Coturnix japonica: one gene and its partners. The protein of the gene in region 1 purifies or fractionates together with the protein of each later gene. This does not show direct contact. Links are inferred from orthologs where the notes say so. Each region holds a gene or a part of one and is shown in the gene's direction. Other genes may lie near its edges.

Region 1 (7,531 bases):
AAGAATCCATGCCTGGACAAGGTTGGCATATAGAAAATAATTACACCGAAGAAACAATGAAAATAGAAAGAAAGTTGAAACAGCGCGCTTGTGGTATCAAATATCAATGCAATCATTTTGCAGTAGGTAATATACATGGCAATTAGCTTTCTTACATTATATTATAATCAATTCATAATTCGTGCATACAAGGAGAGCTTTTGGAAAGGAGGATCTGAATTTAACAAACACTACCACTCATCATCTGGGCAAAGATGGCAAAAGGAATTTCAACATTATTTGTGATGTACAAAACCGAACCATTGCTGCTTTGTGTTGTGCTTCCCGTGCACAGACTGCAGTGCCTTCTGTCTGCTTGAGGGTGTGGCATCTGCCATTGGGGAGGAAAACTGGCATGTGTTGCCTTTTATAGCAGCCTGATTGCATTGTGCTGGGGGCCTCTATTTCAGAGGCTCTTGGTTCCAATCCCGCAGCCGACTTGCTGAAACACATGGAAGGAACAAGAGCAGTACCAACTCCTTGGTTTAAAGCATCACCTTTTTTTTTTGTTGTTGTTTTTCACAGAGAAAACATTTCAAATGAAATCTCTGTTAAACTTTGTGGGTTATTTTCCTGATCATGAGTTGTGGAGAACATTGGGAAGTTCTGAGGTGCTGCCGAGGTGCTGTCAGCAGATGCTATCTGGGTTTAAACGTCTATATTTTTGCTCAGATAAAATGTGTACAAAAGTGTAGTCGATCTTATGTTTTATTTTAGAGCACACGTGTAAATAAACACACACAAGTAGACATCTATATTTGTATTTGCATATGAAAGGCTAGAAAAAAATCAATGTACGCTATTTAATGTGTATAATTAGCGAGCATTTGAATGTAAAAAAGAAGAAAATCCAGGAGAAAATGTCAAAAAGGCTCACTAACAAAGATGTAGTATTCTCTTGGCAAAAGCTGATGAATGATTTGGCATGAATTCATCGTACAGTTCTGTTGTTCTCTCTCCCACAAAGATGATATACCCCATTCGAGCAGTCTGCATAGAACTGCAATCTGTTGTTGTTACCGGCCGTAATGACCCCTGGGTACACACCTGATTCCCCCTGCTAGACTCACTCACCATTTTTGTGCCACTCTTCTTTCTAGTAGCCGTGTAACATCTCGGCACTTGCAAACAGTACCAAAAGAAAGAGAAAAATGCGGTTCTAATGTAAGCGATGTGTTTGATGACCAGTGAGACTTTTCAAACCTGGCTCCATAATGGAGTATTTCTGAGTACTTCTGACTTTTCAGACAGAACTGAAATTAATAAGGGACTGGAACTGCTCTGTTCGCACTGGATCAATAATTATGGCATGGAACTCAATGTCAGGGCATGACGCTTCTGTTCTTTAATGCTTTCACAATGGGAATGATTAAGTCCACCTGCAGTCCACCTGGCCGTGACAGCATCTCCCATGACATGCTGCATTTCTCTCTACCAGAATCATTGAATTTCCTATTTATCTATTGTGAAATTTGAAAATGTGGTGATCATTAACAGCACGCATAGAAATATTCATTTAAAACCGTGTATGTAGGCCCTTACTACAATGAAGACGTTTGCTAACATCTCAGTTTGCTAGCTGCTTCCTTAGCAGAGTATTTGACCTCCAGATGCTTTATTAGTTTAATGTAGTGTGTAATGCTTACTTTTTCTTATGCTTGGGTACCATTTGTATCGGAGTAGTCATACAAAAACACTCCAAAAAAAACCCCCTCCATTCTGAGGGATGGTTTAAAAATGTAGGTCACCAGTAACAGCTTTCCACGTGCTATTTGGATGACATGTTTTGACTTTTGTTCTGGTATCGCACAGTGTCCTGTGCCCACTGGAAACTACATTGTTTGGGGAAACAATTACAAGACTACATGCCTCTCTCTTCTTGATCAGCTCCCATTATCTGCAAATAAGTACAGAGAACATATTGAGAACAGCCCTATATATAAAAGCATCATCAGCGCAAATGACCATTAGAATTTGGAGACAGCTGGGCAATGTGGACAATGGCACCGATGGTACGGCTTCAGAATTTAAGTTACGTTTTATAGCTGTCAGCACTGAAAATACAGATTTCGGGGGGGAGGAATAGGAAAAAAAAGGGGGGGAAGGAGGGGAGAAAAAAGAAAAGAAAAAAAAAAGAAGAAAGAGAAGAGAAAGTCGTGTTTTTCCGCGAAACATCCTGCATCCCCCGCCAGAGGAACGGAACGGAGCTCCTTTCCACACCTCCGAACTCTGCCCGCCGCCTGCGGAGCCCCGAGGCCGCCCGCTCCTTTCCTCCCTTCCCTCGGGACAGCGACCGCGGCCCGACCGCTCCGCCGCCGGCCCCGTCCCCGCAGCGCCGAGCGGGCGCGGGGCATCGCGATCCGCCGCCCCTTGACGCTCCACGTCCCGGAGCGGGCGGCGAGCGCCGGTGCCGGCGGATTCCAGTCCGCGTTTTGCGAGTGCGCGGGGCGCGGAGGGGGCGATGGCTGCCGGGGCTCGCCCGCCCGCCCGCTCGCTGCTGCCATGCTGGGCCAGCGCGGCTGAGGCAGACGTGCGCGTCCCCATATCCGGGTTAGGGAGGAAAGGAGGAAAAAAAAAAAAAGTTTCATTTAAAGCCGAACAAAAAAGTTCCAACATGAAGTCACAGCGCGGCGGCGGGCGCGCACCGTGAGGCGCTGTGCTCCGCTCCGCTCCGCTCGTAGCACTTCTCGGCCGCGGACCGAGAAGGGGATTTGTGCGGCCCGCAGGGACGGCCCGGCCCGGCCGAGCCCTGTCGCCCCGCTCCTCATCCCCCACCCCCCCCCACACCCCCCCTAACCCCCCCCAACCCCCCCTAATTCCCCCCCAACCCCCCCTATACCCCCCCTAACCCCCCCCAACCCCCCCTAATACCCCCCCACCCCCCCCTACACCTCCCCCCTCCCCGGCTCACCCCCCTCGCTGAGCGCGGGGGCCGAACTCCCGTCTTGTTGTTTTGTTTTGTTTTTTTTTTGCCCGATTTTTAGTCTTTTCGGTCCCGGCGCCGGTCCCTCCGACCTCGCGATGTGGCGGTGATCATGGCCGCGCAAGTGGCGGCGGCTCCGGCGGGGGCGAACAACGGGCAGGGCAAGGCGCCGGGCCCGCCGGAGCGCGGCCCCGGTGGGGGCCCCTCGGCCGAGCAGCAGCACCCCGCGCCGGCCCGGCGGCAGCACGGCGAGCCGGCCATGGCCCACCGCGCCGCTCCCAACGGCGGCAGCGCGGCCGGCGGCCCCTCCTCGGAGCCGGCGCTGAAGGAGGCCGGCGGCGGCTCCGCGGCGCGCTCCTCGTCGTCCTCCCCGCCTTCCTCCTCCTCCTCCTCCTCCTCCTCCTCCTCCTCCACCCCGGGCTCGGCCATGGAGACGGGGCTGCTCCCCAACCACAAGCTGAAGAGCGTCGGAGGCGATCACCCCGCCGCGCCGCCCCACCACCACCACCGTGCCCACCACCCGCACCACCGTGCCCACCACCACCACCATGCCCACCGCCCGCACCACCGCCACCACGCTCCGCCGCAGCCGCTGAACCCCTTCCCGCCGCTGCCGCCGCAGCAGCCGCCGCCTCAGCACCATCCCGCGCAGAATAGCGGCGGCAGCCTCGGCGGCGGCGGCGGCGGCAACAACAACGGCGGCGGCGGTGGCGGCGCTGCGCAGCCCGGCGCAGACATCGAGCAGCAGCAACATGGAGGAAAAGACGGCGTCCTGGGCGCTCCGGCCGAGCCGCCGCAGCAGCCGCCGCAGCAGATGCTGAATAAAGGCGCCGACGAGGAGGAGATGCCCGGCAAAATGGGCGAGCCCATCGGCGGCCGCTACGAGCACCCCGGCTTGGGACCCCTGGGCGGACAGCAGCAGCCCCAGCAGCCGCCCCCGAGCGCCGGGAGCGGCGGCGGCCTCGGCGGCGGCGGCGGTGGCGGCGGGGGAGGCGGCGGCGGCGGCCCCTCCGCGGTGGGTGTCTCGGAGTTCAACAGCTATTATGGCAACGCTGCCCCCGCCGCCGCCGGCAGCGCTACGGCGAGCCGCGCCGGGCCTTGCTTTGATCAACATGGCGGACAACAAAGCCCCGGGATGGGGATAATGCACCCCGCGGCGGCCCCCAACAGCATGGACCCCCTGCAGAACTCGCACGAAGGGTACCCCAACAGCCAGTACAACCACTACCCGCCCTACGGCCGCGGGCCCGGCGGCGGCGGCGGCACGGGCACGGGCGCGGGCGGCGGCGGCGCGGGAGCCGTGGCGGCGGCGGGAGCCGTGGCGGGCGGCGGCGGCGGCGGAGGCTACGGGGGCTCGGCGGCGGGCTACGGGGTGCTGGGTTCGCCCCGGCAGCCGGGCGGCGGCATGATGATGGGCCCCGGCGGCGGGGCCGGCCTCGGCAAGGCTGCCTCCGGCGCGGCGGCGGCGGCGGCGGCGGCCGGCGGCTTCGCGCGGTTCTCCGGGCAGAACCAGCACCCGTCCGGGGCCACCCCGACCCTCAACCAGCTGCTCACGTCTCCCAGCCCCATGATGCGGAGCTACGGCGGCGGATACCCCGACTACGGCGGCCCCGGCGCCCCGCCGCAGCCCCAGCCCCAGCCCCAGGCGGCGCCGGCCGCCCCGGGCGGCCAGCAGGCAGCGGGCATGGGCATGGGCAAGGACATGGGCGCTCAGTACGGGGCGGCCAGCCCGGCCTGGGCAGCGGCGCAACAAAGGAACCACCCGGCGATGAGCCCCGGCAGCACCGCGCAGCCCATCGGCAGGACGCAGGTAAGCCCCGCGGCGCCCGCTAAGGGGCCCGCGCGCCGCTCGCGGGTCCCCGCGCCGCTTTTTGTTTTCTTTATTTTTATTCAGATTTTATTTGCCCTTTCCCCCCCACACTTCATCCCATCCCCCCCCATCCCCCGCGTGGGTCGCTCCCTCCGCTCGCTGCCCCCTCTCGACACCCGCCGTGCTGCGGGCACGGGCTCCGGCTGGGCCTCACGGCGCCGCGTTGCTGCTGGGAGCAGCGGCCGAGGGCCCGGCCCGGCCGATGGGGCGCCGTGCGGCCGCGCTGTGTGTGTGCGGGTCGGTGCGTTCCCTTGGGGCTTCCCGTGGCGCTTCTCTCTTTTGCTAACAGTTCGGGCTGTATTTTTCTATCCGCACACAGCGAGTTGTCCGCGCTAATTAGTTTGTCTCTAACGCGGAGTTACCGCAGTGCACGCCGCTCAGCGCAGCTCGCCTGTTAGTTTTTTATTCGTGTTTTTTTTTTTTTTTTTTTTTTTTTTTTTTTTTTTTTCCCCTCTCTCCCTCTGTGGGAAGAGCGCGTGTGTGCGCGTCGCTGTGCGCCTGACTCACGGCGCCGCTCCGGCCCCAGCGCCGCGCTTCGCCCCTCGCATCCGCAGGGGCCGGGCCCGTCCCGGCGGGTCGTGGCCCGGGGGGGGCGTTAAGGCTCGGGGCGCCGCCGAGAGCCGCCCCTCCGCGCTCGTTCCGGCCGGGAACCGCCGCTTGTCGCCGTGGCGGCCGGAGCCCGTAGTCGAGGAGCGGCTCCGCTTCTCCGCAAGGTTTGGAATTTGAATTGTGGAGGTAAACGGGCTGCAACAGTCTCCAGACAGCTGCCTCCGAGTTGACATCTAATCTGCCATCTGATTGGCTCCCTGCTCGCCATTGGGCACTTCGCGCCGCTGATGTAAATAGCAGCGCCGAGCGGCGATGCCGGCACCCACGGCCCCGCCGACACCGAGCGGCCGGGTGGGGGTGGGGGGGTGCGGCTGCGCGGGAGCCAGCGAGGAGGGGGCGGCCGGGGGCGGCCGGGGGCGAGGACGGCTCTCATGCCTTCCTGCCTTCCTGCCCTCTCTCGTCCTCCTCGCTGCCGGCCCCACGCTGGTGTCGGTGGTGGTCGGGCTCCGCGCTAACGGGACGTGCCGGGAAGGCGGCTTTTGAGAGCCGCTCTCGAGTTGCGCGCGTGGAACCTTTTGTGCTCCTCCCGAAGCGCTTCGTTATGCGGGTGTTATGCAAGGGGTGTGAGGGCCGTGCGAAAACAGAATGCCTGCTTTGGTTTTATACGTCTGGATGGGGATTCAAACCCCACCGTAAACTTGAGGCCGTCGGTGTGGGCTCGCTCCTCGCTCAGCCTCCCGCGGCACCCCTCGCCGTGCACTGCGCTGCCGGGAGCGGACGGCGGGCGCCGTACAAAGGAGCGAGCAGAGTGGGGCAGGAGAGCTGCGGGAACGGCGGGAGGAGCCCCGCGTGCTGCTCCGGTGGGAGCCTGCGCTCCGCTCCCCTGCAGGACGGCGAGCGCTGTGAGGCGGAGCAGCGCGCTAGGACGGCGCGCCTCGCTTTTCCCTTCAGCGAGTCCTTGCAGTTACAGAGCTGTTAAATCCGGTAATAGCTTTTAGCAGTGAGCGCCGGCAAGAACGAACGCGGGCGTACATGTTTGGGCGCTCCCACGGCGGGGTGTGCCCGTACAGTGCGTTCTGAAAGCAACAAAACCCGGAGAAAAGACGGGGTGACACTGTGGGGGAGGCGTGGAGCGTGAAAAATAGGAGCAGAAGCCCGGGCTGTGTCTGCCCGCTGCCTACAGGGCTCTCCTTCGGGTCTGTGGGTCTCATTCCGCCTCCTTTATTTCTTCCACGGAAGTGAGATTCCTTTTGAGCGTCGATTTTTCCCTTTCTAATTTTGCCCTGCTATCGGGGTCCCTGGGAGCCACAGGGTAATAAGGCTCCTCGCGTGCACCCTATTGTAATTCATGTAAGGACACCGCGTTTTTTCGCTTGCGTTTGAACACGGGCAGTTTGGAATCCATTGCTTCTAAAGCTGGGAAAATCGTGCTCCGAGAGGCACAGCACGGCACATGGTTCTTCAGAGCGCTATTTCTCATGGCACGAATTGTTAAAAGTATTTTATTTTTATTGGCACGAGAGTAAATTCATTATGTCCTCAGTATGACCCTTAGAAATACTTCCTTATATTTATGGGTTTGTGTCCTCTCTCACAGATCTTTTTTTCCCCTGGTACCGTAAGGAAATAAGATGCAGCTCACAAAGAGCAGACTGCCAAGGGTGCTATTCTTTAATCTTTTTATTTGTCATTTTTTTCTCAAAATAATAGTAATAAAGGCAGCTCGTCACTGTCCTTCATAGTGAGATTTCTCCATCTAAGCATTTGGGTTGAGATAAGAATTTTTCTTAGCTTTCAAATGAACGTTTTTAACATAGAAAATGGGTTGCATCAAATATTAAAAAAACCAAAAGGAAATACTTGCCGTTAGCTTACAGAACACAGTTATTTCTGTGTGCTGCCTTTTAATTCCCAAGCGTCCATCTCCAGGTGCACTTGATCAGTAGGTAGAGAAATGGAGGCTTTTAAGAGAGCAGAAGGTAAGATCCAGTCCAGCAGCTGAGCACGAGGCTTCTCTTAGTTTTTTTTAATAGTCACCTGTGCGTAAGCTGTGTGTGTGTACACGGGCATTAGAATACACTCAGTTGTCATGTGTCTTTGCAAAGCAGGAGATGATTGGCCCCCACGCCTATAGGAACTGCTGAGCTGTG
Region 2 (7,653 bases), on another chromosome or scaffold:
TGGGAACAAACACTGTGTTCAGATCTCCCAGAATATTAGATTATGACTTTCCTGCTCTGTCTTTTTCCTCCCCTGTGCAGAAATGGCTGCTGACATAGGCACAGGCCTACATGGTCTGTGTTTTGTCCTGGGCCAGGGGTTTTTCAGTGGGAACAGAAGCTCAGGATCCTGCAAGCACAAAGTAGTTGCTAGAGCTGTTATGCAGAGTTTCTCTATTGAATGGATATTTTTGCCCCAAATTCATGCAAGACACAAGACGCATCTTCCCTAGAATTAATGTTTTCCAGTGCTAGGATCACGTTTCAGTTGGTGACATGGTCTGCACCTTAGAAAAAACAAATCTTCCAAATTACCCTATTTTGTTTGTTCACAGTTCTTGCTCAGGTTGCCTTGTAGTTTTTGTGTTAATGACACTGTAACCCAAGGGGCTGGTTTTGTTTTAATGCACACAGGAGAGCATATGATGGAGGATGAGCTGGCGTTCTATCTGTCTGCCCTGCTGGGCAGGCATCCAACAGGAGGAAGATCTGACCTGGACGTGTGTGATCCCTCAGGTATGAGATTAGCATTCTGCACTGCACAGAGGCAGGACTGATTCAGTTCCCAAACAAAACGATGTAAATTGCAAGCCCTTTACCCTGTTAGGCCAAGAGCTGTCAAAAACACTCATGAGTGCAAGAACAGATATAGATCATAGGTTGTCCTTCATCCATGCAACAGTGGGATGAGTGTACCTAAAAATAAATGAACAAGAAAATACAGCTGGAACCTGACAGGGTTACACTGCTGTTTATCTGCTGGCTTGGAAATAGAACTGGAAACACAGTGGAAGGTTTACACGCCAAAGGCAAAGAGGAATTCTACCATATGCAAATTACAGCATTGATTTCATCCAAGCAGCAGTACATATTGTAACAGGATGACTGCATTTGTGTATGTTTCATGTCCTAACCTACACCAGCCTAGAACAGGAACCCTTGTACTGCACACACACAGTGCAGCCCCTGCATACCATTGGCATCATAAGATCACATCAGACCAAAGGAGTGTAGAAGCTGTCTTTGGTCCCTTAGAAGTTATTCACTGCAAAGTGAGACAGCCCACAGACTTGACAGTGTTTCCCTGATGCACTAAGCTAGTAGAACAGTACTTTGTGATTACTGCATACACTGTTAAAAGCATTCAATTCACTTATTTGTTAATTGTAAATTTTACTGTTCTGGAACGCCATTTATACACTGCTCTTGTGTGTCTCATGTTGTCATTGCTGCTTTCCAGATGCAGCAGCTTTGATGGAAGAAATTCCAGAGGAAATCACAGCAGAGGGATTCACTGCCGGCATTCTTGGCCTATCCATTGCTGAGCCAGAAAAAAGAACAGTAAAATGAGATGGATAATTCATCGATGAAGACTCAGATGTGTAGCTGCCACGGTTTTCTACTCGTTTCTATTTTCCAAACTCCTCGAGTACCTGTGAAATACATATTATGTATTTATTAGAAACTCTTGCATAGCTTCAGATTATTCAAACTCTAGGTTAGCTCCCTGTTTAGCACATGCCACAAGCCTATGGGATCAGATCTATTTCCCAATTGTATGTGTTCCTAATACTGCACCCTCTGTCCCACTGCAGCAGAAGGTTTTCATTTGGAAATCTCTTTGGAAGCACTTCTGCTGCCAGGGCATGGCTCACACCTCCAGTGCCCCCTTACACAGAACTGGCTGAATCGTGGCCTGGGTAAACACGGTGCTTTCCAGAAAGGATCTTTGCAGAAAGCTGCATGAAAGCTCTGTTCTAAAGTCCTTATTTCACTCAGGAGGACATCAGTCTGCAGGGGATGTAGCTGTAAGGCATGGCACAGTGGTTGGTACGCTGTCTGTTTGCATGGATCACCCAGCTAGAGCCATTCTTTTCAGGTGGGCTTACACCAAATGCAGTCTATTTCCATTACTCAAAGGGGGGTATTCATTCTTAACACCCAACAGCAAAAAAATAAAGCAATGCAGAAGTATTGATTATATACACTGGTAAATGTTCTGTGCAAGATGCTAGAACAGATTTTTACTGCGCAGACAAAGCTGCCAGCAAAGAGCACTGTGAGATACATTAAAACCAGTTTTCTATTTTGGCCTTTAAAACTTTGTTTTCCCTTCTGAAAGCAGCAGCTCTAATTAGCAGCGTAATACCAATGGGACAGCATCTCCCAGTGTTTGTATAAACAGCATAATGAGGCTGACACGAGTTGCCGTGGAAAGATCAGTGAAGTGCTGTTGAACACGCTTCCTTCTTTACATCATCCTCAGCATCAATTTGAATAATAATGTGGGCCCTCCAAAAGCGTTCCAATGTTTTTTAAACAGAGATCACTGCTTCGCTCTGGAAGTGTCTGTGGTTGTGTAATTAGCACAGTGAGGTGTGTTGCTTTATTAGGTCCAGCAGGATGGATGCTCGGTGTACAGTGGGTCTGTGGTGCACAGCTGTGTGAGGAGGAGGGTGCACTGAGGTGAAGATGAAAGTCGTGGGTTCACTCAGCTTGGAGGGGGCTGTGTGGAGGCCCCATGGCGGCCTGTGGCTGCTGGCATAGGAGCAGAGGCGCAGGGGTTCAGCTCTCTGGTGTCCAACCACACGGTGGGCACACACCGGGCATCCCAGCAGATGTTTCTCCTCTTGTTGGCCGCCAACAAAGCCGCCATGGCCGATCTCCTCACAGCGCCCCTCCCGTCTTGCGCGCGCGCGGGCTGCCGGCGGCGGAGCGGGCTGCGCGTGCGCAGCGTGCGGGCCCGGCGGGCGGGCGGAGCCGAATGGAGCCGAGCGGAGCCGAGCGGAGCCGAACGGAGCCGAGCGGAGCCGAACGGAGCCGAGCGGAGCCGAACGGAGCCGAAGCGATCCGAGCCGTGGGAGCATTGTGCGTGCGGGCAGGACGGAGGGACGGACGCCGCGAGCCGCGCCGAGCGCTGCATTCCCGCCGCTGAGGCCGCCGCCCTGCCCCTCCCCTCCCTCCCCACAGCCCCAGCAGCATGTCGGGCCGGTCGGTGCGGGCCGAGACCCGGAGCCGGGCGAAGGATGATATCAAGCGGGTGATGGCGGCCATCGAGAAAGTGCGCAAATGGTGAGCGGGCCGCGCCGCGACGGGACCTCCGAGCCGCCCCCCCTGCCCCTCCGCAGCGCCCCGCGGGGCCCCGAGCCCGGCTGGCGGCAGCGGGGGGCGGGGAGCGGCGGCACCCAGAAGCCATTTCGCCGCTGCCCGTCACACGGAGGCGGCGGCGTGTGAGGGCGAGAGGCGGCTCCATTGTGCGGCCGAACCCCGGCCCGGAGCCCCCAGCGCCCCCGGAGCCCCTGAAGCGGGCCCTGCGGAGCGCGGCGGGCTGTGTGTGTGTGGAGCTGTGTGTGGAGCTGCCCCTCGCGGGAGCGTCTTTATTCTCCAGCCCCGTTCCCAACCCCGCTGTGAAACTCCATCAGCCTGTTCTTAATTCCCACCTATTCCTTAACCTCGCAACTTTCCGAGCTAACCCGCCAACTTGTGGAGTTCGCGGGCGCTTCCCCACGTTACACCGTGTGAAGAGAATAAGTGCAGCCCGGGTTTGTCTTGTTGTGTGTTAAAGCTGCACCCCTGGTGGATCGCAGCACTTTTAGGCCTGCAGCCTGTTTGGGCTATTTTCTCCTTTTGTCTTTTCTTTTTTCTTTCTGCTCGTATTGTGGGAAACAACACGAGGTGTTGGAACAATGCGGTCACGCAGTTGTTGCCGTGTTTTCAGGTGGGATAAGGAGCAGTGCCACACTGAACCTCTTTCTCCGCCTAGTTGGAGTCTTTGTGTCTTTTGTGCGGAGCTTTGAATAGGTTGAAATGTTTGAAACCCACAGAAAGTCTTTGGACCTGACAAAATAAAGAGTGTTACTGTTGCAGTGGACACTTTGGTTTTGTTAAAACTAACAGAAATAGGCATGTTTGCATATTCTGGAGGCATGGATTTGTTGCTTCTTGAGCGCACAAATGGGCCAGTTGGCCGGAGCTGCACAAAGGACACAACGTGTGCCTGATAATGCCGGGCACGGGATGGGGATTGCAGAGAACCATTGTGCAATGCAGCTCAGTCGTGTTCAGGAACTATCTTCTACTCTGCCACTGTTTTTAAGTGCTGTTTGCTTACTGCTGGGTCAGCTTTGAAGGGTTGCAGCGCTGTACAGCGATGAGGCAGTGCTTCTGATCACACGTTGTTGGCTGTGTGGGACTGTACTATTTTGGCTGTAGGTATTTCATTCATGAGCGCAGCATACCTCCTCCGAGTCCTGCTTTGTGGATGTTGGAGAGGAGCTCGATCACTCAATGGATTGTCTGGTTCTTTTTCCCTTGGGGAGGGCGCTCTGCCATCAAATCAGTTGCTACAGCTTCACCTGTAAAACAGATCTTATGGCACAAACAGGTTTTGTACACTTTAACCCTCACCAGAGCCACCTCGCTTTAAGCATGAGTGTCTGAGCTTTGGGGTTACCTGAGCTGTGTGGGGTGAAGAGGAATTGTCTTGGCCCACAAATAATGTAGTTAATGTATCTAAGTAGCAAAACTTATGTTAAAACAGAAAGATGGCAGCAAAAACATGAATCTAATAGGTTGGACATGTGCAGTTTCAAGGGTTGCTGTACGGAATCATACGACATTACTTCTGAGTATGGTCAGAACTATTCATGTGGCTTTTGGTGTGTGCATCTCACAAGTATTTCCTTGAACCATTTCTCCTATTTGTTAAGGCAGTCGTGGTTTGATGGTGAATCTCATGATTCCCCTCCACCTGCAGTCAAGAACAGTGGGGAATTTAGCCAGAGAAATCCAGCGTTCTGTGGTTTAAGTGTTTTGAGAAGACTGGTGCTGTGAAACTGAACTGTATGCGCTAGGAATTCCTGCATCTTGAGAGGAGCCACATAGGCAATTTCAAGTGTGCGTTTTCATTTGCTTAATGGGAGCAATTTGTTGCCATCCACAGCTCTTCTGTGGAGATGCAGCCGCTGAAGATTAAAATACCTTGCATACAACAGAGTTTTCTGGGACACGTGCACTTGGAGCGCTGTGTTCCAGTACCAAACAGGAGCAGAGTCAGGTCGTGTATATTGTGAATGTTGAATGACTCCAGTGCGTGTTGCCCTGCTTTATTGACATGGGAAGGTGTGTGGCAGCCTCACTTTGCAGCGCTGCTGTGTGCTCCTGTTGCCACATCTCTGTATGGGCACGTGGGAAGTTGCTTTCCGTCAGTGCACGCTCCATTCTTTGGAAAATATATATTGTATTCTTAGACAGTTTCTCTGCCCTTCAATGCAGGCAGCCTGACTTCACGTGTTGGTAGAGAGCTGGTGCTTCTGGTGTTACTGCAGCTTGGCTGAGAGTAGTAAACAGTGAAGTTGTTAGGATTTTATCTTGAGATTAATGCTGCCTTATCTCCTTTGTTTAATCCACTCCCGTGAATGAGCTTCTATTTTAGAAAACATCTAGCACGTGTCTTACAGAGTACATGGCTGTGTTACATTTCCGTGGCGGCAGTGTTAAATCTTCATAACTAAGGGAGTTTTTGAACTTTTTTTTAAACCATACTTATATTTCTTTCAGTCTGGCTGGAAGAAGAACTGAGAATAAATGTAACGATGTGAGTTGTAAAAGATACAGGGTTATTTTTGTTCTAGAGGTTGGCAGGTATGTGTGGATTCTAAATAGTTCTCAACTAGAGAGGGATAAAAAGTACTGTGCCCTCATCTGTAAGTAACCACAGCCCATGAGATGATGTGACCTGGTGGTGTTGGTTGGGATCTCTCAATGTTGTTGGCTAAAGTAGAACTTCTGGACTGTGGTTGTCCACTTGCTGTCTCCATTCAGGCTTGCTAAAATATTTTAAGCGGTATGTAATGCTCTGCAAAGGAGCTTCTGCAGATTGTCCTGCCCTTGCTTCCTTCTTAAAATAGATTTTCCCTTCAAAAAGTAGGCAGGGTACAGAACTTCTTGGTGTGATGTCTTTGGAGAGGATGCTGCTGCCAGGTTGTCCCATTAGCCAGGCTGCAATGGCTGCGTGGCTGCCTGCAAAGGCTGCGGTTTGCCTGGTGGCAGCTGAAATAAAAATACCCAGTGTGTGTGAGGGAACTGTTCTGAAGTCCTGTAGCATTCCAAACACAGTTACCATGGATGAATTACAATATGAATTTTCTGGCTCATGGTTATTTCTTTTTGAGCCAGAATATGCTCGCTGACTTTAGTGCAAGTTGGATGTATGTATAAGGTAGAGTAAACTGTGTTTCTCGTGACTGCAAGGAAGGCTGCGTGCTACGACGTGGAGCTCAACAGAACTCTTAAAAACGTGCCGGCATGTACAAGTTGGAGGCTGCTACTGCAGCATGCTCAGCTACAGTTGGAGAGAAGGGGCCCCTGGCCGTTAGTGTTTGACCATTAGTGTGTGTCCTCTCACACTACTTTACACTTAATTGTATTTGCAGCATGGTCAAGAAACACCTCGTGTATTTGGGGTACTTCATGTTAGTCGCTGGACGAACATCTACATAGAGATAGGCATGCTCTGAAAGCAAGCCTCCATTTCAAAAACACCTTTATTTGTGCATCTGACAGCACTTTGTGTGTATAATAATGGCATTTTCTTTCCCATCCCCCTTTCTCCTTTGCTTGATCCCACAGGGAGGTCATAATTCTGTGATTTTCACCAAACTCTGTTGCAATGCAAGTGAGTGTGATGTGATAAATTCAGCATTATGACGTCACTTCATGGTCATCAACAGAAGATGGGGTATGTGGGAGCAAATCCTCGTGTAAATGCAAATCCCTGTGATAAATGGTAGTCACCGTAAAAAGCCAAACAAGTGTGAAAGCCGTTTCTTGAATGATGCTATATTGGCAGCAGAGGCTTTCTGTTTCTGTGCCATCAAATGTTTCTAGCGCTCGTCGCTGCTGCAAAAGCTGCCTTGACACTTTATGTATGAGTGTAATATACGCTGCCGTGTTTGCTCACCACATTACTTTTATACATGGCATTTATACTCAATTTTGGAGCTTTAGTGTTAATAAACAAAATATAAATACATTTAAGTGTCTTGGGCTATTTGAAATGGGAAAATGAGTATATAATTATATAGCTTCTAGGTATTTATATGCCTTGGGCATAACACGAAATAAGTGTTGATATTAATGCTTCCCTATGTATCCTTGGCTGTCCTTAAAATGCTTTGCAGATATGGTTCAGAATTTAAAAATGCTTTAACACGATTTCAGATACACATATGGGTTTTGTTTCCGTTGCATAATCTAGTTTCTGCATTGGCTGTAAAATGTTTAAGATACTTTTCAGTGTGGAAGATTAAAGCAAAGTAAATTGTAGTATGTATTTCAAGTTATACCATTTCCATTGGGTTTGTGTTTGAGTCAGTCATGGACAAACAGAAGTTGTTAAACCAGGGAGAAAAATGTTTTGTTTTTTTGATATATAATGAAACTGTGGAGTTTGTTGGGTAGATGTGGACAAGTGAAATTGAGAATTTTAGCCTGGTTCGCTGTCAGCCTGATGGTGAGCTTTCATCTCTTCCAGTCCATTGCTCAGTGTGTGGATCAATCTCTGTAACAGAGTACAGAGCCATAGAAATTCCAACCCAGTGATTGCCTACCAAAG
Region 3 (6,919 bases), on another chromosome or scaffold:
GGTTGTGGGGCAGAGAGGGGAGGATGAAGAAGCATCTGATAGGGGTAGGACCACAGTGCTGCCCCAAATGAAGGGGAGAGGATATCTGTTAGCCAGGAAGGATATAAGGAAGGTCACCATTTGAGCTGCTCTAATAAAATTTCCTGAATTTAAGCCCTCTTTGCATCCTGCTCAATTTGCAGGGCTTCTCAAGGGTGCTGGAGGCTTCACCCTGCTGGGGCTGTAATGCTGCTTAATGGCTTAGCTGGGGATTTATGGCTGTGCTGTGTTTGCGTGTCCAGAGCCGAGGGGGCTGTTTGCCCTTAGCAGGACTGCATGGCCACAGCAAAGGCTGCCTTGCTTTGCTCAGACACTTTTCCATTGCAAATCTTGAGGGCAAACTGAGAAATAGATGCACATGGAGGATTCCCCCTTCCCTTTTTTCCTATTGGAGGGGAAAAAAGGCGAAATGACTCCGTTCTGAGGGTTTCCATATGTCTTTGCTGCTAATCACAAGTGTCACAGCCTCTTTTCTTGCCCGTTTGTTCTCCATTAGCCCTTGCAGGCAAATCAACACGGTTCCTGCAGCGCCCATCCTGCTGTAGCCATGCACAGCCCCAGGCAGTGCCTTGCAGCGAGCAGAACCCTGCAGACAAAGCCTGTGCAGCCCTGTTTGCAGCGAGGCATTGCCAAAAACGGGGCTGATCAAAGGGAGCAAAACATCTGGGGGCTGTTAGGAAAAGCTTGTGTGCCTCGTAGCTCAGGCAGGTTGGCGAGCAGCTTCAAAGGGAAGCCAAGCAAAGGTGAAAGCAGCAGATGGTTGTGCAATGGGTTTCGTGCGTGTACTTGATGAATTCCTCCTGCAGTCCCCATCCTGCCACCTCCTGGGCTGCTGCTCTTTGGCTTTCCAGCTGTGGAATGCTCCTCCATGCTGAAGCTGGTGTATTTTGGGGGTTTCCTGCTGGGTTTGGCACTTGGGAGGGATGCCCGTGGCTATGGACTGTGGAGCAAGAGCTGTTCATATATTGTCCAGCAGCCTCAGCAATTCTGTTGTTTGCATTTATAGGCTTTTGGGCTATTCCAATGAAGGAGGTGAGTGGGTTTTGGCTCCAAGCACCCACAGTGTGGCTCTGAGCCTGCCTTTAAAAGCTGCTGAGGCCAGGCTGGCTGCTGCTGGTGATCTTATGTGGGATTTGCACTGGAATTAATGCCTACATGCAGATAAGCTCGTCAGCCTGCAGCATTGCCTGCGGCTGAGCTCTCCTTGCTGGACTCCTGGCCCCTTTGGGATAACGAGTTGGCTTTGCTAGCTCCTGTGCACCGAAGCTCTGTGTCTGTCTGCAGGATGTGGGTCAGAAGGCAGCAGGGGAGCTGCAGGAATTGTCTTGGCATGTCAGGGAACCTGCAGAGGGGAAGAAATGCTGTTCTGCTGGCTCGGTGGCTTTCCCAGCTTCACCAGTTCCTTGCCAGGGGGGAGCTGGAGGATCAGAGAATAACAGAGAGCAGGCAGAGCGTGCTGGAGCAAGTAGGGCTGAGCAGCAGTGGGGTGCTGGGAGCTTTTGTTGAGCACACAAGGGCTGTGCATGGGGCAGACCCAGAGTCAGCTGCTGATGCTGGAGATAGAGACCACAAGAACTGCTCCAGGCTGGAATTCATGCAACAGAAGTTAAACATCCCACGGGGGGGGGGGGTTGTAAACGCCCTGTGTAGGTGCCTGGAAGTGAAAGGATTCAGCACTACATCCATCAGGAATGAAGGCCACCCTCCTGATGTCCTTGCCCTGGTTAAGGGGCCCATGTTTAACACCCCCCTCTCTTGTCTCTCTCTCCCCTGCCAGCGCCCCGGGATGCCACCAGGCAGCCGTATGCCCATGGCAGGGCTGCAAGTGGGACCTCCAGGAGCACCCCCATATGGAGCAGCATCCCCACTGCGACCCGGCCTGCCACAGTCCATGATGGATCCCTTCAGGAAGCGTCTGCTGGCTCCCCAGTCCCAGCCACCCATGGCCACCCAGAGGAGAGGGTAAGGGCTGACACAGGAGCACCCTCAGCCAGTCTGGAGCGGAGGGGTTCACTCTCTACATCTGGTTGCTGTTTTCTGGTTGCATTTCTCCACTAAAACCTACAACATGGCCCAGTTGTTGGCACCGCAGCTGGTGGGAAAGCAGCCAGGGCTCAGTGCTGGGGTGGTGGGTCAGGCTGGGGTGCATCACTTGGCATGCAGCTTCCCCATGCTCTGATCTCCCCAATGCTAACCAAACAGCTGAATGCTTTAGCTTAAGCAGCAGCTTGTCAGAACCATTCCCTGTTCTCAGGGGCTTTGTGCTGTCCTGGGCAGGCACAGAGATAGATGGACACTCAATTCCCAGCCCTGGAAGGAGACAGGCAGAACTGCAGAGAGCTTCTGGCAGGTTGCAGGGATCCTCCCCAGATCTGTGGCTGTTTACTTGGGATGGTCTCTGTGAGCCATGAGGTTTTGCCAGCAGCTCCTCGCTTGTTTATGATGCTGCTAATCCCTCTGCTCTGTTCCTGTTTCTGTGAGGGCTTCTAGATTACTGGAGGTTATTCCTCAGGGTCCCTCAGTCCTAATGGATGTTCTGGTCCTGTTCCCTGCCCTTGCTGCACAGTGAGGCTGATGGCTTTATGATCCCTTTGCAGGGAGTGACCAGTGTCTCTATGCCAGGGCTGTGCATCCATTCTGTGCTCCAGAGCAAGCTGGGGATTAAGGACACAAGGCTGATGGGTCCTCGCCCACTGAACAGGGACGTCAGCAGCTGGATAAAGCTGTGGCTGCGTGGGATCAGCTGTGCTGGGGAGCTCAGGGCTGTGCACAGAGCTCTGCTGAGCTTCCCTGCTCCTGACTGGCTGTGGAAGGAAGGGGATTATAAGGGTGGCAGCACCAGCCCTTAGTGGCCAAATCCTGGGATGCCTCAGGATGGCAGCAGTAGTGCCACATTTTAGTGCCACATTTGCTGCCCTGTTGCTTTAGGTACTGTCAAGGGAAAGGAACTGTCCTGTGCATGCTGGGCTATAACGTAACTGTGAAAAATGGGGCCAAGTAAGAGAGCATTTTCCCATGTGTTTCTCTCTGTTCCTGGGGTACAGTGTCTTATCCACTTGCTTCCAAGGTTTCTGCTATTAGTTGCTTTTACAGCCTTTCTTCATTCCCTTCCTGCAGTTCTGAAATGCCTGTCCTGTAGCTGATGGGGGCATTTCCCCTTGGATCACGTTGTTTGCTGCAGTAGGATCTTGGAACCTGGCTTGAACTGATCCATCCCCATGGCATCACAGCACTCCCCAAAGCCTGGCCCCATGCATGGCCTGGGTGGGGCCAAAAGAGCCCCCACGCTGTGTCCCCCAAGACAGGCAGCCAATGAGATCTGCAGTGTCCTGAGGTTGCTGCAGGATGATTTCTTTTACTTCATTCTAATTGCAGGGTGAAGAGGAGGAAGATGGCTGACAAAGTCCTGCCACAGAGGGTGAGTGTCACTTTGGTGCATGGAAGGAGTTGACGATGAAACCCCCATGGTAGGACGATCTCATTGAACCTCGTGCTGCATGATGAATTGGATGAAATGCCTGGAACGTTTCAGTCTTGTAGGTTAGAGAGAGGGATGTGCACAGTTAAAACAAGCAGGGCTTTGGGTGAGCAGGGAGCAGCCCTGGCTTGCGATGCAGACCTCTGGTCATTCCCAAGCTTTTCTCTTGGGGTTCCTCTTGACAATGCAGGGTTATAATCCCTGCCTGTGATGTGGAGCAGGTACAGTGACAAGCTCCAATCAGTGCAGCTCTGTGGGCTGGTAAAGATGCTGGGCTTGAAATGGGATGCAGCACCACCTTCAGCACATGAGGGACTGACTTTTATCATTTGATAGATCCGGGAGCTTGTCCCAGAATCTCAGGCCTACATGGACCTCCTGGCCTTTGAGCGCAAGCTGGACCAAACCATCGCTCGGAAGAGGATGGAGATTCAAGAGGCCATCAAGAAACCACTGACGGTGCGTGGCTGGCCAGGAGGGCAAGCAGCTGAGGGAGGGTAGAGGTAGGAAATGGGAGCTTGCAGCCATCCTCTCGCTCCAAGCATCCCCACTCTTTGTTTTCCTATTCCACAGCAAAAGCGGAAGCTGAGGATTTACATCTCCAACACTTTCACCCCGGCCAAAGAAGAAGGGGAGGGTGGTGAGCGTGTGGCCTCTTGGGAGCTACGCGTGGAGGGCAAACTGCTGGAGGACGTAAGGATCTGGGCAGGGATCAACGTGGCAGTGGGAGGAGGGCTGAGAGCTCTGGTGCTCTGTGCTGAGAGCCTGGCTGGGATAGATGCAGCCTTTTTCTCCCTGGCTGCTGGAGGCAGGCGGTGTTTTGGGCTGGGGCCCTCCATGGTGTTGGCAGCATCAAGGCCAAGCCTCGCACGCAATGTTTTGCAGCCAAGCAAACAGAAGAGGAAGTTCTCCTCCTTTTTCAAGAGCCTCGTCATCGAGCTGGACAAAGAGCTGTACGGGCCAGACAACCATTTGGTGGAGGTGAGATGTCCTTGGCTGCACTGCGGGGCTGCACCCCAGGAGGGATGAGAGCTGTTCAGTGCAATGGGAGGTAGCCCTGCTTACCCAGCAGTGCTGAGCCATCCCCGAGGATCACGTTGCTGTACTTCCTAGGCTGCAGTTTGCAGCTCAGTGGTGCTGGCTGGCAGCCCGGTGAGGCCAGCCCAGCCCCTCTCACCTGGATGGCTCCCAGCTGCAGGCTGCTTGCTCCATGATAGCCCCAGGGTTGGTTCTTAACTCCCTCGTGTCCATGGGTGGAGCTGGGAGGCATCTGCTCTGATGGATGGCTTGGGCAGCCCCAGGCTCCTTCAGTTTTGTGACTGTACTTATGGCAAATACTGATTCCTGTGGTGATACCCCCTTGTTGGAGGTAAATCCCCATTAGGTGGGATGGTTTGTGAGAGCTGCTGTGGCATCGAGCCCCTATAGTGGGTGAAGCAGGACTGTGATCCCACAGTGACTCTGGGAGCTGTTTGAGCAATTGGAATCAAGCATTCAGCCCAATCCAGTGCTCCCGTAGTCCACCTGAACTGCCTACAGCTGGGCTGGAGCTCATCAGTGTTGGTGAAACCAAGTTAAACAGTGTCCCTTTATTCCTAGTGGCACCGTCTGCCCACGACCCAGGAGACTGATGGCTTCCAAGTGAAGCGTCCTGGCGATGTCAATGTGAAGTGCACCCTGCTGCTGATGCTGGATCACCAGGTAAGGCGTTAGCAGTGCCATGCTGCCCTCCAGCACAGCTGAGTGGGCTGAAACAAGCTGGGGAGGGTCTTGAATGAGGGAGGCAGTTGGGTAATGTGCTGTGATACAGAACAGGGACAGAAAGCAGTGGAGAGGAGCTCTAGGAATGAGCCCTCAGCCTGCAGCAGCACGAGGGCTGTGCAGGACACTGTGCTCACTGAAGGGCCACATGCCAAACATGCCCTTAATTCTGCATGTCCCTGCAGCCACCACAATACAAACTGGACCCTCGCCTGGCTCGCCTGCTGGGGGTGCACACCCAGACCCGTGCCAGCATCATGCAGGCGCTCTGGCTGTACATCAAGCACAACAAGCTGCAGGACAGCCACGAGAAGGAGTACATCAACTGCAACCGCTACTTCCGACAGGTGAGTCCACGGCTCTCCTTCACCTCCCTCTGGGATGCCCTTGCCCTCTTGTTTCTATGTGGGTCCCTGCTGGGGAGGAGAGCACCATTCCCCATCCTTCAAAGCCAAGAAAAGCATTTGTTCCTGGCTTGGAGTGGTCACTGTCCCCCTCCCCATGCTCTGTTGTGCAACTATCAGCTTGGCATGCACAAAGCAAGGTTGAGCAAAACCTTGTTCCTGCTCAGGTGGGTGGGTGGAAGGAGCCCCTGATACTGGCAGCTAAATGCTCTGCTTTTACCCCTCCAGATCTTCAACTGTGTCCGTATGCGCTTCTCTGAGATCCCCATGAAGTTAGCAGGGCTCCTGCAGCACCCGGATCCCATCATCATCAACCACACCATCAGGTAGGGCTGTGGGAGTGCTGGGCAATACCCCCTTTGGGGGGGCTGGGCTGCATGGAGCAATGGGTGGTAACTCTTTGATGAGGATGCAGGGCTGCAGGTGCTGTGAGATGTCCATCTCAGAACAGCAGTGAGTACAGAGGTTGTTGGGAGGGGAAAAATCAGCCCAATAACTTCAGGAGCTCCTTGGGGCAGTCCTTGTATTGCTTTTGAGGGTGGTTGATCTGCCTCCTCCTCAACACTCTGCCTCCTTCCAGCGTGGACCCCAATGACCAGAAGAAGACGGCCTGCTACGACATCGACGTGGAGGTGGATGATCCCCTGAAAGCTCAGATGAGCAACTTCTTGGCTTCCACCACCAACCAGCAGGAGATCGCCTCACTGGATGCCAAGGTGAGGGGCTCCCCCCTATCTGAACTGGGGGGGTTTGGTGCCAGCTGTGTCTTGGTTTGGGGGCTTCCATGAACTCCAGGTCCCATGTAGTTGTTCCACCTGCCTCTCTCACCTTCTGTCATCTCTGCAGATCCATGAGACCATCGAATCCATCAACCAGCTGAAGACACAGCGTGATTTCATGCTGAGCTTCAGCAACAACCCGCAGGATTTCATCCAGGAGTGGATCAAATCACAGAGGAGGGACCTCAAGGTAAAAATGTCGAGGGTAGGGCAGGGCGAGAGGCAGGGAGGCTGAGCAGGGGCCAGCCATAGCGCTCACCTTATGCTCTCCCTTATGCTTTGCTTAGATCATAACAGATGTGATTGGGAATCCTGAGGAGGAGCGACGAGCTGAGTTTTACCAACAGCCCTGGGCCCAGGAGGCTGTGGGCAGACACATCTTTGCCAAGGTGGGTTCTGTGCTGTGCTGGCGGGGTGCTCCTCTGGGCTGAGATGGCAGCAGGGAGGCTGAAAACAGG
Region 4 (6,919 bases), on another chromosome or scaffold:
TAGAAATTTGGAAAGGAATGTCTGGATGTAAGGAACATTTGGATGTTGTGTTGAGGGACATGGCTTAGTGGGAGTTCTTGGTAATAGGTGAATGGTTGGACTGGATGAACTTTTAGGTCTTTTCCAACCTTGGTGATTCTGTGATTCAGCAGCTTGGTACTGAAAGATTTTTGTACTAATCTGTGTGGGACTATTGTGTGGAGGTCAGTGCATATATTCCTGTGGGTCTTTTTGCATAATGCCTGTTGCATGATTGTCTGACTCAGTTATGCAAGTAGTTTGTCTTTACAGGCTAAATAAAATTGTTTATTTTGTGATAACAGCTAGGTGGTTTGTTCTTGCACTATAACAACAGCTAAAGGTATATTAAAACTGTGCCCCAAGGAATTTGCAGTGTTAAATAACGTTTCCACAACTTGTCAAGGTTTCACAATCAGGTATTATATCTACATATATGTATATCTACATTTTCTTTGCAGATTCTTTTTTTAAACAAACATAGAAAAATGAAGAAAATTTTAGTTATTTGTTTATGAGTAAATTTGTATCTCTAGTTCAAAGAAGACGACGTCTAGAAAGCAGTCCTACATAGTATGAGTTCTCTTTCATAGCTTCATTACTGAACTCATTGTATTTGTGTAGGTGCAGAAACAACTAATGTGCATGAAATAACTGAAAATAGAGACTTTGATCTGCTTTTTAAAGTGGAGTTACAGAAGACATATTTGTTACTCTTCTTTTATAGGTCCAATGATGCACCAGCAGCCTCCTTCCCAGCAGTACAACATGCCACAGGCTGGTGGCCAGCATTACCAGGGACAGCAACCACCTATGGGAATGATGGGCCAAGTTAACCAAGGCAATCACATGATGGGCCAGAGACAGATTCCTCCATACAGACCGCCACAGCAAGGTAGACCTTCTCTTCAGTGTTCTTACATTGATTTTAAATAACCAGCTGGAAAATTATTTTGAATAATTTTCTTGTTTACACCAAATCTCAGTGAAATCATTGGGTGTTCCAGTTACAGACTTTGTTTGCAGACTCTTTTTTTTTTGTTTCTTGTAGCAACAGGTTACTGGTATCACAGTTAAACTTGAATGCAAGTGAATTCTGTTTCAATATTAAAATGATAGGTATAGAAAAAGAGTGAAGTACCTTCCTGATTCTGAATTTGTTCAATTATAAAAGGGAACAGTGTTCTGCAGCCTTGTTTTTTTCTTTTTTTCTTTTTTTATCCCCCCCCCCCCATGTCTTTCTAGAAAAAGAGTAACTTCATTTTTAATACTTGGTGCTGTTATACATGTGTTCCCAAAATGATCTCAGAACTGAAGTTTGATATATATGTACTCAATCTGATGCAGCCAAACAACTGTATGCTTGTATGTGTGTGTAAAATATATAGAGATGTTTTTGTTGTTGTTAAGTCAAATAGATTACGTATGTTGTCCGAAATACAACAGTATGGGTGGGGAGTACATTTGAGAAATATTTCTCATAGTAAAATCAGAAAATAGCAGACTTTATAATAGAGAAAACAAGTTATTTACCTATTGACTGGTTGTGGTTTTTCAGGCCCACCACAGCAGTACTCAGGCCAGGAAGACTATTATGGGGACCAATACAGTCATGGTGGACAAGGTCCTCCAGAAGGCATGAACCAGCAATATTACCCTGATGGTAATCTCTCATAAATGTTGACTTTCCCATTTTCTATACCTGCCCAGTATTAATGCAGATATGCCCAAAATTATGGAATGGGACAAGAGTAGTAATGGAATATCATACCTCACATTTACAAAAGCTCCCAAGTTCAGAATTGTTCATACAGTTTTAGTTACAATGAGTAATTAATTTTACAATTTAGAGTATGTGATTTGTAACACTCCCATTTGAAACTATAACAACAGTTTTAGTATTTCAAAGTGAAAAATCTGTAATTGGTGTATCTAAAAGGAGGGATCTTTAGTATGTCTGGTACAGTCGAGATGAATTAAATCATAACTTCATTATAAATAAAAGAGGGGGTGATATTCTTTTAATAAAGATTCTACTGAAATTGATGAACTTGCTTAAGAAATGTGTTTTTCTGTAAATATTTTATATTTTTAACTTAGTGCTTAGTTTTCATGTCACACAAATGTGTTCTTGTTGCTATTGGTATGGGCCTTCAGTGTAATTTTCACAAAGGTATGGAACGGTCCCTGCCCTGAGGATCTTGTAACTGTTAATCCTCCTTAGAAGTCCCCTACCACCCCACAGGGCTTTCTAGGCAAGGCCATAACTTTGAATTGCATAAATCTGTCCTCCTGCCTCGTGGAGTTTAGAGTGCTAAAGGCTATTGTGTTGTGTTCTAAGTTAGAAAAGTTGCAATTGACCTGTTTTTAGACTGAACAGAGACTGGGAGAACAAAAACGTTGAGTCATGACTGCAGTGAGAATAGTGTGCACAGTATAATGCTTTCTTAAGAAGTTCAAGGAATGTGGTAGATATCAGTGTTTTTTAACAAAACAAACGTACACAAAGCTAAACAGTGTTATTGTCAGAGCTGTTGCTCATTGCAAATAAAAGGGCACAGGTTAGTTGGCTGAATTTTCATTTCTATTAAATTGATTTTAAGATACAACAAGCCATGCATATATAAGTTTACGTGTGTTATTTTTGGATATATGTGTGCAAAGCTCTTTTACAGTGGGCATAACTCATCATTATTAAACTTTTGTTTTTGAACTTCCATGTTATAAATGTGAACTTTAAATGATTGTTGTATATTTACTATAGTGAAGGCAATTGGACATAATCACTGACAGATCTGTGGCAGAACAGAGGAATTCACTGAGAATTATTCCTTCTAAAGATTCATTCTTTATCACTACCTCTTTATCACACTTCTCTTGAACTAGAGATTGTATTATAAGCTTTGTGTTAATGATTGTGTATTTTATTAGGTTACATCCATGAAGTATTGTACAGTTCCAGAAGTAATTTCAAAGACCACTTATTTTATACTGTTTTCTTCTATAGTAGCTACCTGATCTAATTTTATTCAGAATTTAAACAAAATTTCATCTTCATTTCTTTACCAGAGTAGCAATGCAATATGTTCTTGTATTTTTTTCATCTGTCAGATGTACTTACTCTTAAAGCATCAAACAGGTGGGGTGCTTACTGCATGTATTGGTTCCATAATCGGAGATACCTACTGTCTCTGAATAGAAGAGTTTGTTTGTAATGATTCTGCTCAGGACTGGAGGAAAAGTTCACTAAGGCTTGTAGGAATTACTTTTGTAGGGAAAAAACAAGCTTGGGAATATTATTTTTCTGTCACTTCAAAGCAAAATTTAATGTAGACTGTAATCCATAACTTTGCTGAGCTTTATTTGTTCTATTTCACACTGCTTTTAGCATATGCTTTCGAATTGGAGATCAGCAGAACAGGTGTTAGACAAAGTATGATAATTGCTTTCTTTGTTCATTCTAATTTAATTCAGGTTATTTACATGTGAAAGGCCTAAATGCTTTCTTTTTTTTTTGAGTGAAAGATAAAGTATTTTTTTCCCCCAACAAGGATTATCAGAAGGTTAAGATCATCCTTTGCTGTGATGTTGCTAAAACTACTGCTTTAAGCTTTTTTTTTTCCTGTCACATGTTAATTCAGTATGAAAGAAAATCATATGAATAAAACTTTGACTAATACAATTGAAAAATATTTTTCATGTATATCCAGTTGAAATTTTTTTTCATTTTTCTGAGAAATGAAATATTCTTAGGGTTTTCACTCAGAGGCCATTAACGTTTCTTCCTGTCTCTTGTCGAATTGATGTAGGTCATAATGATTACGGTTATCAGCAACCGTCGTATCCTGAACAAGGCTACGATAGGCCTTATGAGGATTCCTCACAACATTACTACGAAGGAGGTATCTATATACCTTCACACACATACGCACATACATTCCCTTTCCTCCCCCACCCGCAACGGGAACCAAAATTCTTGCACAACACAACTTATACCCATGCAAAGCTCTTGTAGAATACTAGTTGCTGGCTGTCTTGAGAATTGCAGGGAACTCGAAGCATTCAGAGTAATTTCTTGCAAACACCTAAAATATATAACCATAATTTGCCATTTCTAACAACAGTAAAATGACTAAAACACTTCAGAGATTTTTTTATTTTTTTTTAATCTCAATGGAAATTTTTATTTAAACATAAATTTGTTGGTTCAGTTCTAAATCTTTTTGTGTGTGTATATATTTTGTATAATTATAGTGCCGTTAGGAAACAGCTTGCTGATCTTGTGTAGCTAGTCTGTGCTCTTGTAGCTGTCCTTAATTTTGTCTTTTTTATTTTATTTAGTATAGTCATGATCTTATGACTGTGACGTTCCAGTAAATGCAATGCTCCTTTGGCAGAGATGCTGAAAGTGCTGCAGTTCAACTCTGCAAAATTGGCTTTAACTGCAGTTTGTTTGGCCGAATTCCTTCTGTTTGGTTTGAGTTTTCTTTGTTTTGTTCAGTTTTTGAAATCAATATTGCATTTTCATTTTGTTCTTGTGTTGTTGGCTGTGCATCTTAAAAGGAAAAATATTTAATCAAGTAAGCACCTTCAGTTGTTTCTTCTTTCTCGCAATCATCTTACAGGAAACTCACAATATGGTCAGCAGCAAGATGCATATCAAGGACCACCCCAACAGCAGGGTTACCCACCACAACAGCAGCAATATCCAGGCCAACAAGGCTATCCTGGACAACAGCAGGGTTATGGTAAGAACCTGACGGTGCAGGCAGTAGTTGGAGATAACACTAAGAGGTCTTCGTATGTTATTCTGTCCTGATTTTACTGGGTTGAAAGGCTGGGCTTGTGCAAGGAAGCTGTATGCTCTCAATTTCAATGGAGCAAAACAAGGAAGTGTAGAAAACAGCATCTGTTTGGAAGTAGATCTGTTGCAAGCTTGGACAACCTGGTTACACAGAAAGCTGAGCCATGTCTACATACTATCTTCAAAAGCGTCTGTAATTTAGAAAAGCTCTGCTCTATTCTGTGTCCTTGGTGAACACAGTCTAGAGGGCATGAAGTTGGCAAAGAGTCACCTACGCCACTCCATCTCTGGACTTGGCATTTAGAACAAAATCTTTAAAAACAACAAACAAACAAAACCCCTATTTAAAATTCATCCAACACAAATGAATCATTCAATTGAAATTCTTGTACCTACAAGTAAAGAAAAGACCAGCAGCATTACCTATGGTGTTTTCTAAGGATTTGTTTTGCAAATGCTTGAGCTGATGGTGCAAACTGTGTAATGTATAGCAAGAATGAGAAATCTGCCACAAGTTAAATGATGTATTCTTTAGATTCAAGGAGAACTCCCAAACAGGAGACTTAAAGTAATAGTAGGTAATTTCTGTGAACTGTCTGTGAAAACTGTAAGTCAGCAGATATTGCTCTTATTTCTGCTTGTTGTTGTACATCGTAAAGCTGTACATATTTATCTTAAGATATGCAACATCTAAGAAGCAATCTCTGAAATCTAATTACATATGTTTTAACTTTAGCTTTCTGGTAGGTTTACATGCTAAGACTTACTGCATTGTGGAAACGTGTGGAAGTCCATGGGTGACTTCTTTGCTGTGTAGACAAATGCCGAGATTGCCCCAAATCCAGTTATATTGAAACAGTTTTAAGGAAGACCTGCTGACATTAAGAAAATCTCCTTCTTTTGGATGTTATGGAAAAAATTAGAATTCTAAAATAACGTTTGTGTACTTACATTCTGCTAAGCTTAATATAGGAACAGAAGGAAGGTCTAGCTCTCTATTCTGATTAAGTAAAGAAATAAAATCTAGTATTCTGAGTATTTGGGTTAAGAAATACTAGAGGAAGCTATTTTTGTAAACCCCAAAATTGCGCTTTTTTAGTTTCTTTTTTTTTTTTTAAGTAAAAATAGACATTGAAGCCCAAAATTAACACATTCCATTTCATTTTATAGAATTTATTACTGAATATTTAGAATTCAACCGTAAAGTATGACCATGAATAAATAAAAGCCAGGCTTCATTTGTCAGATGAACACAGCACTTTTTAGGATATAGTAGCCCTGCTCAATTTAATATTTAATTGCTTTCTAATTTGCAAAAATAAATCAGCATTTCAGTCATTAATATCAATCTTTAAGGTTTTGTTTCACTGTTCAAAGCAGAAGCTGTATAGTTCAAGGAGATCTGAGGCCTGAGGAGAATGGTAATATGCTAAGGAACTCGTCTTTGCTTGGTCATCTTTCTGACTGTCTTGTAGATCCACAGTTACCAAAAGAGTTACGGGCCAGTGCCTGTAGCTTGATCTAGCCTACTCTTGTACTGAGTCATCTTATTGATAAAAAGTAATCTGTTTTCTGTGATTTAAAAAAAATAAACACCTGTTTTTTCTAAAATACTTCTCCGGAGTTACAGCTTTTCCCAAGTCTGCCAGTTTTAGCAGGTGGTGTTGAAGTAGCTAGTATCTCTGAAATACACAGGACATCATATCTACCAAGGTAGGAGGGGATGAGTTTAATTTTCTTTGAAAGATATCTTCAGTGCCCGATGGTAGTAACATACATTCCATTTGGTTGACTGGCTTAGTCCCTGTGAACAGTGACAGAAAGTTTGTCTTGACAAAAGAGCTGCTTCCTTTACAACCAAAAGAGTCGAGCCATTCTATTCTGTTCCTGTAAAGTTAAGGTGACAGAGGAGGGGGATGTAGAATAGTAGAATTTACTGGTTGTCACATCATACATTTTATGCATGTAACTTGCTTTCCTGATGTCCCATTTATGATTGCCCCCTGTGGTTTGGGAACTGACTTTTGGCAGTACAGCACTGCTGGTCTCTTTAGACAGTCCAGTCACTGAAGGCAGTTGTTCATTTGGCTGCTCCTC

The links.
Region 2: the proteins of ARID1B (region 1) and BCL7A purify together in Homo sapiens (affinity purification with mass spectrometry; 4 studies listed by BioGRID and IntAct, counting the BioPlex papers as one, with this or other methods). This does not show direct contact. The link is inferred for Coturnix japonica from reciprocal best matches to the Homo sapiens genes ARID1B and BCL7A.
Region 3: the proteins of ARID1B (region 1) and SMARCD2 purify together in Homo sapiens (affinity purification with mass spectrometry; 5 studies listed by BioGRID and IntAct, with this or other methods). This does not show direct contact. The link is inferred for Coturnix japonica from reciprocal best matches to the Homo sapiens genes ARID1B and SMARCD2.
Region 4: the proteins of ARID1B (region 1) and SS18 purify together in Homo sapiens (affinity purification with mass spectrometry; 4 studies listed by BioGRID and IntAct, counting the BioPlex papers as one, with this or other methods). This does not show direct contact. The link is inferred for Coturnix japonica from reciprocal best matches to the Homo sapiens genes ARID1B and SS18.

What each region holds. Positions count from the first base shown.
Region 1 is NC_029518.1:46,219,110-46,226,640, forward strand, and holds the start of ARID1B (AT-rich interactive domain-containing protein 1B), read left to right. Parts: upstream 1-2,979; 5' UTR 2,980-3,074; coding exon 3,075-4,772; intron 4,773-7,531. UniProt on the Homo sapiens protein: Involved in transcriptional activation and repression of select genes by chromatin remodeling (alteration of DNA-nucleosome topology).
Region 2 is NC_029530.1:4,908,511-4,916,163, forward strand, and holds the start of BCL7A (B-cell CLL/lymphoma 7 protein family member A), read left to right. Parts: upstream 1-2,808; 5' UTR 2,809-3,018; coding exon 3,019-3,110; intron 3,111-6,483; exon of another isoform or gene 6,484-6,742; coding exon of another isoform or gene 6,743-6,777; intron 6,778-7,653.
Region 3 is NC_029542.1:1,252,491-1,259,409, reverse strand, and holds part of SMARCD2 (SWI/SNF-related matrix-associated actin-dependent regulator of chromatin subfamily D member 2), read left to right. Parts: intron 1-1,816; coding exon 1,817-2,001; intron 2,002-3,414; coding exon 3,415-3,457; intron 3,458-3,853; coding exon 3,854-3,976; intron 3,977-4,090; coding exon 4,091-4,210; intron 4,211-4,402; coding exon 4,403-4,498; intron 4,499-5,116; coding exon 5,117-5,218; intron 5,219-5,463; coding exon 5,464-5,625; intron 5,626-5,910; coding exon 5,911-6,008; intron 6,009-6,262; coding exon 6,263-6,398; intron 6,399-6,528; coding exon 6,529-6,651; intron 6,652-6,748; coding exon 6,749-6,850; intron 6,851-6,919. UniProt on the Homo sapiens protein: Involved in transcriptional activation and repression of select genes by chromatin remodeling (alteration of DNA-nucleosome topology).
Region 4 is NC_029517.1:93,953,188-93,960,106, reverse strand, and holds part of SS18 (protein SSXT), read left to right. Parts: intron 1-745; coding exon 746-913; intron 914-1,576; coding exon 1,577-1,681; intron 1,682-3,827; coding exon 3,828-3,920; intron 3,921-4,643; coding exon 4,644-4,766; intron 4,767-6,919. UniProt on the Homo sapiens protein: Appears to function synergistically with RBM14 as a transcriptional coactivator. Isoform 1 and isoform 2 function in nuclear receptor coactivation. Isoform 1 and isoform 2 function in general transcriptional coactivation.